Arabidopsis thaliana: one gene and its partner. The protein of the gene in region 2 interacts with the protein of the main gene of each other region in a pairwise test. Each region holds a gene or a part of one and is shown on either strand. Other genes may lie near its edges.

Region 1 (4,305 bases), on a different chromosome or scaffold from region 2:
GTTATTGTCAACTTTTTTTCCTGCGGTTCTTCTTTGCCGTTTCGGGTAATGCCATTTGTCCCTTGGGCAGATTCCTTTTCCTCATTTTTGGACACACCGACATGAAGTCGTCGTCCATAGTTGGATAAGATTTCAGGAGTCTATCCCTGGTCGGAGTCACTTGCAAATGACCTCTTCAAACTTTTACTTACTTAGTTAATAAAAAGTTTCTTAGATAAATGAACCATATAATTCATCTTTTATGACAGCATGACATTTAATTTAATGTTTATATCAAACCATATTCATGAATTGAGTGATCGATCTGTATTAATTTTATAACATGCAACTGCTAGAATATATGCTTGCTTTATAGAGTACTAAAGACGATTCACGTTTCTCTTAAATGGTGTTGTATAATGCGATAGATGGTTCAACATCTAACATTTAACACATCTCTCGTGTTCTTCATTGTTCTCCTCACAAACCCCACGCATCTTTTCCATTTTTAAGGTTCTGTTTATTACTACTACGATCTCACTTTAATGCTCACTATCACGCAGTCACTGCAATCTCCAGCTTTTTAGTACTCCATTCGTTACAAGTATTACATTTATATTTCTGTATCCATTAAATATAAATTCAAGTAAGAAAGTTCCAAACAAAACAAAAATCCAAGAAATTTTTTTAGAAGCCGTGAATTCTCTGGCCTTCTTCTACTTGACAATACCTTATCTCTCTGACTCTTCTCTGAAATTTTTTAACTAACAACTGAAGAAATCTCCTTTTGGATCATTCCAAAAGTTTCACAAAATCCAGAAGAAAAAAAGAAGAAGATTATATAGAAAATTTCAATTGTGAAATTATCAAAATTCCCTCTAGAAACTCCATTTCCAGACCTTGACACTAAGATCAGACTTACACTTAGTTTTTTTAGAAGTAGCTACAATTGGAGTTTTACCTTTTGGTATAGTTCCTTCAAATCCTTCACATGTCACTTTGATCTCTACTCCTTCACTCTTCAGCTTCCCCATTATCATCTTCACTTTAGTTCTCATCTCGATCTCATATCCTACACGCGCGCGCGTCAGATCTGATCTCAGATGCTTAGCTTCATCCGGATCTAACTCACGCGCCGCTGTAGACGTAGCGATCACGCCGTGAAACGAAGTTTTGTTACCGTTATCGCTGAAGAAAGCAGGAACAGTTCCGTTACCGAGCATCGTACCGGATTTAGCTGAATTAACGGTGACGGTGAAAGGATCGTAAGAGAAAGAGAGGTGTTGGTTTGGATTCTCTGAGATTAGAGTGAAGTTGAAGAAGGAAGAGAGATGAGAGACGGAGGAATCAGAGGAGGTTGTTAGGTTCACGCGGCTGATTCTTATTGACGGGACGGAGAACGACGGCGGACGAGGGTGGTAGATCACGTACATCGCGGTGGCGGCGATTGCAGTCATGAGAGCTAAGATCAGAATTATCAGAATCGACCAGAAACAGCAACAACAGCAAATTCGTCGGCAGCTTGGTCGAGATTGGTGGTGATGACGGCGACTGTAAGGCTGTGGACGGTAAACCGGACGGTTAGCTGGAATGTAGACTTGAGGTTTCTGATTAGCCATTCCGTTTGTTGTTCCGTTGCTGGTTACAGTCGCCGGAGCTGGAGGAGGTGGTATGGAACCAACTGGTGGAGCTCCATTAGTGGCGGTTGGTGGTTTGGAAGCTGGGAAGACTCGGTCAGTCATCTTCTTCTTCTCCGGTTGTTTCTTTCTCTCTGGTCAGATCTGAGCTCACAAAAGAGAGAGAGATAGTGAGAGAGAAAGAGACAATACAGAGTTTTTGTGGAATCTTAATAGCTTTTTTTTCTGAGTTTATTTATTTATTGCTTTTTAATAATTTGTTTTTTTTTCGGTTTTCAGTTTTTCTTAGATTTTTGTGAATGTTCATGACTTCCATGCCAAGTCTGTGGAATCTTTTTATTGGGTGGTAAAATAATTAATGTAAGCTGATTTATTACTTACAAAGTGGCCCCATTTATTTCTGAAAAAATTATTTACACGTGTAGTATTTTAGTAACGAGTAATACTAAGATGTGTCCTGTGTACTCAAATTTTTCTTGTTTTCAGAATTTAGTAATTCACAATAGAGTATAATGTAATCAAATGAAGAAGAAGAATGGGCAAAAAAGAGTAACAATTAAAGATGTAATTAAATATCAAAATGACGGAAATAATAATCCACCGACACATATAGTGATAGTGGTAGTAGTTCACTAAAGTGTGCACGCAATTGAAATAAGTTTGAATTTAAGTCAGTGCAGGTTAAAAAAAGAGGAAATAATTAAATGAGTGCAGATATTGGAGTATTAATAGATTAGGGATCCGAAATTAAAAATATAATTAGAATAATCTCGATTTGGTTCAGACTTCAGAGAGTAAATCCCAAGTCAATAATTATTTCATCGGCAATGCTGCTCTGCTTTGAATTTTGTTAATAACCTTTGCTTCCGAGCTCTCAATTCCCAAGATTTAGCGTGATTAATAATTCAAGAGCTCTCTAACTATGTAGTATAGTTACCAATTATCACCCGGTCAAGTGTCCACACCATAAAGTCTTTAAAAAAATAAAAATAAATAACACTCAAGATCGATCACATTTCATTAAAAGATAACTGCATTACAGAGAAGCATTGTCGGAAACATCCACAAGTGGTTCCAACCAGCAAGGTACATAAACATCAACAATGGAAACATAAAGGGCAAAACATTGAGCCTACTTCACCAAACCATAAAAGTGTCTAGACATCCCAATAACTTATGGTAAAGTTTGTTTTTAACGTCTTACAGTCAAACACCTAAATATACATCCCACAACCATCGACATGAATGCAATTACATACATAGTCAGAGATTATATAGTATGACGAGAGAAGCAAAGTTGTAAGAATAAAACAAATCCTAACTTACAAAGGAGGCAGAGCACAAATAACCAGAAGCAATGGTTGCCAAACAAAACAAATCCTAACTAAGAACATTCCTTGCTCTTTGTAATAGATATAGATAATTAAGAGAGTATGATAAGCATAACTTCAACAAATGTGGATTCTAAAACATAACTTCTCCACAACGTGCACGGCTAGATAGAGCACTTCATCGTTAGCATTCAACAAAATGTTTTACATTATCCTCTGAATATCCGCATAATACGAACAAATAGAAGTATTGGTAGGTGATGAGAAATGGCAAATTTTTATAGATAGGGCTAGATTTCCATGACTGCTTTAGGTGACCCCTTAAGCATCAAGATTATTACAACACACAACTAACACAACCGAACAAAACAAACACTAGCAGAAACTATCCCCCAAGGACAAAAACCATATCCAAAAGAAGTTAAAATCGACTTTGTTCTTTCTTCTTTTAACCATCGGTTCGACTATAACCACCGGTTCGATATTGTCGGATATCTAAAACCGGACCCGACAGGAACTACTCTTAAACTTGTTGACTTTTTTTTTCTAAACCCTTCAGTGTTACTGTAACAGTCGCACACCTAACAAAAATCCTCCAGCCATGGCGGCAGTTACTCAATTTCTCTCCCAACCTTCATCAATCCGCGGAACCCTAAATCAGTACCAATTGAATCAGACTTCACTCTCAAGAATCCCATTTTTGTCTCTCAAGTCAACATTGAAGCCACTTAAACGCCTCTCCGTCAAAGCCGCCGTTTCCCAAAACTCCACCAAAACCCTCACGAAAGAATCTGCTTCCTCTTTCGACCACTGTTTCAAGAAATCATCAGATGGGTTTCTCTATTGCGAAGGAACCAAGGTTCAAGATATCATGGAAACAGTCGAGAAACGACCCTTTTACTTATATAGCAAACCTCAGATCACGAGAAACCTTGAGGCTTATAAAGAGGCTTTGGAAGGAGTGAGATCTGTTATTGGTTACGCTATTAAAGCTAATAACAATCTCAAGATTTTGGAGCATTTGAGGAGTTTGGGCTGTGGTGCTGTGTTGGTTAGTGGAAATGAGCTCAGGCTTGCTCTTCTTGCTGGTTTCGATCCCACAAAGTACGATTCTTTATCCCCAATAATAAAGTTTGAATATTTTTTTATTTGGTCTCATGTTGATGTGTAGTTTTTGACCATGTCTTCGGTGTGGATGAAATGAATAGGTGTATTTTCAATGGAAATGGAAAGTCTTTGGAAGATTTAGTTCTAGCTGCTCAAGAAGGTGTTTTCGTAAATGTTGATAGTGAGTTTGACTTGAATAACATTGTGGAAGCTTCAAGAATTTCTGGTAAGCAGGTCAATGTGTTGTTGCG
Region 2 (4,305 bases):
GAGTTTGGATTACAAAAAAAAATCTTCGAGTATGAGAAAACTATTAAAATTGTTTTATTGAAAAATCATGTAATATTAAAATAAATTTAGTAATACTATAATTAAATATGTAAAATTAAATAATAAATATATCATTAACCTATAAATTAGAAGTTGAAGAGCTTACATTAATTACTTAGTAGACACATGGCAAATGCTAAAGTGATGATGTGTTAATCATTTGGAGAGAGTTGGTCAACTTTTCATATATATGATTACAACCACATGGTCTACAAAAGTATTTGTATGACTAGTAAATATATACTTATGTCGTTGATGGATGTTGATACTTTTACCAGGTGAGAAGATTAGAAAATCATACCAAATCATGCCACCGGAAGATACAGATAGTTTAAAAACGGGCCAAAGATCCTTGAAAGCCAACCAAGAGAATCCTCTCCACGTTTCCGTACATCCACCGCATGTGACAAATAAAACCTGCGCAATGTTAGGCAACCAATGTGCTACGAGCGAAGAGGTCATGGCACCAGCGATCCCGAAATCAAAATGAACCACTAGAAGCCACGACAAGAAGACATGGACTCCTAACGAAACAGCAGCAACGTAGGCGATGATCTTGTTCTTACTCTGAGCTTGGAGGAACATTTGGCAAGTGAAGGAAGGCACAAAGGAGATGTTGATGCCTATGACCCATAGAGCTATGATCCGAGCCACACGAACAAGGCGTTCCTCTTGACCTAAAGCCAAGAGAATAGGGCCTGCAAAGATGTAGATGGGCATAAGGCAAATGGTACAGCCTGTGAGGACGATCCATGATCTTTGGAGGTAGATCCCAAGCATATGATATTGTTTTGCTCCATAGGCTTGACCACATAGTGTTTCTAGCGCACTAGCCATGCCTAACTGCATATTGTTTCATTGACGGTTCGTTATTACACCAAAAAAAAACTATTTTATGGTTAAATATTTTACATATTTTGCCTATAAAACAAGAACTAAGTAGGTTTGATAAACGCTTATATATAAACAACTATAATATTTAAACTTTAAACTTGGATATTGCATGTTGATAACTAAAAAATGTATATAACCTATAAACTCTTGTTGGTAAAGAGATCATATATTGTGTATTGAATTTTTTTGGTGTAACTGAATATATGTCCAATGGTCTAATAACATTTTAAAAGCACTATTTCATATTATAAATTCGAACCTCACACATGATATGCTAATTAAAGACCAAAACATTAAGAAAACGATGGCATTGGCAGGTGACCATTGGACATTTGTGGCCAATGACTCGCTATACTTCTTGACAATGTTATCTTTGTTGCACTATGGAGTACAAATAAGAAAAGGGAATATATTGTCTTAATATAAATTAATCTTCTGACTATTCCTTTATTTTTTTTGTCATTTCTTACAATATTTTTTTTTCACTTTTTATAAAATCAATATATTCTCCAACTTTTTTTTGGTTAAAGGTGTTTGTTATATTCTCCAACTTTCTAAACTTTATTCTATTTTGTATTTACCCACTGATTCTACTTAACAATGAAATGTTTTTGTTGCATTTCCAACCATTAATAATAATTGATGTAATAATCAAAACTCATGGAGTTTCAGTTGAGACTTGTTTATGTGAAAAAGGTAACTACACTAACAATAAACGAAGAGTATACGACCAACAATGCCTTCCAAACATTCAATATCTTATATACATAGAAATAGCATAATTTCATTTCATAAAGGCAAAGAGTTGAGTGGTTGTGAATTTTTATGATTGGTTGACAAATCAACCAAAACAAGTTCCCACAAGAAGTCTATCTAAGCATTCACGTCACCGTTTATATAGTACGATTTATATCATTCAAACTAATCAGAACAATCCTTAACATATATTAATAGTTATTAAAACAAAAAAAAATTGTTTTTATGTTTTACGAATTTGTAGTAAAGAGTGTGTGGAAGAACTGATCTAATCGTTATAGACTTATAGTAAACTCACCAAGATACCATTACTAAAACGGAGGAGAACGGTGAGAGTGATGGAGTAAGCGGCCAACTCGGTAGAGCCAAGATGGCCAATGAAAGCTTGACTTATCAAAGATAGTCCGGACGTGGAGAACCTCGTAAAGATCGCCGGCCCAGCCACAACCCATAGCTTTTTAGATTCCCTCCAAACCTTCTCCTTCATCCCTAACCCATCCCGATCTTCTCCGCGATTCTCCGTCGACTTTTTCAGAAGGGTCTCCGTCACTTCTCCTTCTCTTCTCGCCATAGCTTAGGAGAGAATGAAGAGAGAGTAGAGAAGGCATGGAGCGAGGAGAGATTTTTGTTTGGTGGGTTGTTTATTTACGTACGGAGGAAATGAAAAGCCGGCCTACACCTCTTTTTAAGATTCTTTAATTTGCCAAATTGGTATTTTATATGCAAAATGAATACTTTTCATAAATAAATTTTAAATAAAATTTAAAATTTGTCAAAATTACATTTACATTTATACATTGCATACCGAAAAAGACATAGCTAGTTTTGAACAAATCACCCAAAAAATGGGATGAGATAGTCGAAATATATATCACAGCGAGGTATGGCCTCTACAAATATTTTACCAAAAGTTGGTGTTTGAATAGACACATCTTTTATAACCAAACCAAATCCAATTAATTGTTGTAAGAGTTTAAGGTTTTTTGAAACGAACAAAACAAAAATGCAAACTATTGAAACACATCACACATCGGTGGTGGGGGTGGTGTTGTTGTTGGAAGGCATGTGACCGGTGGTAGTAAGACCAACGGTTGGTGTTTGGTGGTAGTTGTAGTAGTTTCCGTTCATGAAAAGGATGTGCGCATGCTCTCCAACATAACCCACTTGTTGATAAGGATATTCCATCAACATATTCATGAGTGGATCATGTTGAAACGGATACTAATGATTTGGATCCAAACTGAAATTATCATAGATTTCATGTTGGTATTGAATATGATAACTAAGACCAATAGGGATATAGAGCTGAATCGGCTCATACTGATTCTGATCCATCGGAAGATCGGCACCCGCAACAGGAAGAGGAGCTGCACCCGCACCCGCAACTGAAGTATGAAGTAGAGGAGGAACGGAAGAAGAAGACTCACCATTGTTTGTAAGGATCTTGACCCTGGAATTAAGCTGATTGATATAGTGATCAATATGAAAACTTAAATCTTGAAGGTCCCTTGCACCATACTGATGCTCACTTATCTTACCCTCAACACAATCAAACATAAAATGTGTAAGCTGAGTTTCTCGGTTTTCAAGACGTAGACGCTCCAGTTTCTTTGTTTCTTTGGTAATTTGGTTCTACAAGTAGGTCTCATGACTCATCATCAGCTTGGACCGTTCTATCGCCGGCCTTTTAATAAACATTAAAACCGCCTCTTAAACACCTTCGGTTGACGACCACACCACTGGATTCTCGTACGGACTGTAGGTTACCACACATGCTTTGACTTCGCAGAGAGTTGTCAACTCATGGAGTTTCTTCGTTATCCGTCCCTTCCTCATGGGCATGCTTGTGTTAGTTAGTTTCGACACTTCTTCCCCTATCAAGCTTACTGCAGTTCGTGTCTCTATGTTTGAGTTATGTATGGTTAAGCTTTTCAATTTTCGAACTTGTTACTCGGATTTCTCCGATGAAGCCTAATCTTCATGTATCTTTCTAATTTCAATTTATAAATTATGAGCACACAAAAAAAAAACCTTGAGAAAAAGTTGTGGAATTGTTTTGTTTTTCTGCATATAATTTACCAAATAAATAATTGAGCAAAACTTGAAAAAAACTTGAGAGAAACTTAGGAAAGTAGTCACAGCATTTAGTTATATATTTTTTATAAAGGTTTTCAATGATGTTATTTTTGTTATGTTTTTAATAAATTATGTATACTTTAATATTGTAAATCAAAATTTTCACAATTGGTTTCGTTAGTTTGCGTTTTGATTACAAAAAAAAAGAAAGATTAGTTAAGTTTTGTTAAAAATCACCAAAATATATAATAATTATGATTGATAAAACTTTTAAATATATTAATTTAAATTTGTACTAAAATCTACATTAACGTTTTATGAGTTACAGTTGACATTTTGGATCATTTTAAGAGTTTTTAGATAATGTTATTAACTTAAGAACATATGTTATATTCGTGTTTTAGGTAACCTGATTATATGTGAAATATAATAACTTTGAATTTCATCAAAATTCAACCTTATTTCTTATAAATCAGAAATATTCATAATATTTTGTGTTATTTTATTAAATAATAGTAT

What was found.
Region 1: the proteins of AT1G33080 (region 2) and EMB3135 interact in a protein complementation assay, tested with the Arabidopsis thaliana proteins (one large-scale study listed by BioGRID).

Annotation. Positions count from the first base shown.
Region 1 is NC_003076.8:3,829,186-3,833,490, reverse strand, and holds EMB3135 (harpin-induced protein), read right to left. Parts: upstream 1,992-4,305; 5' UTR 1,722-1,991; coding exon 858-1,721; 3' UTR 340-857; downstream 1-339. Other genes in the region: AT5G11880 (Pyridoxal-dependent decarboxylase family protein), read left to right, coding at 3,549-4,051, 4,156-4,305.
Region 2 is NC_003070.9:11,983,728-11,988,032, reverse strand, and holds the start of AT1G33080 (MATE efflux family protein), read right to left. Parts: upstream 2,384-4,305; 5' UTR 2,282-2,383; coding exon 2,009-2,281; intron 904-2,008; coding exon 362-903; intron 1-361. Other genes in the region: AT1G33070 (MADS-box family protein), read right to left, coding at 2,734-2,858, 2,952-3,249.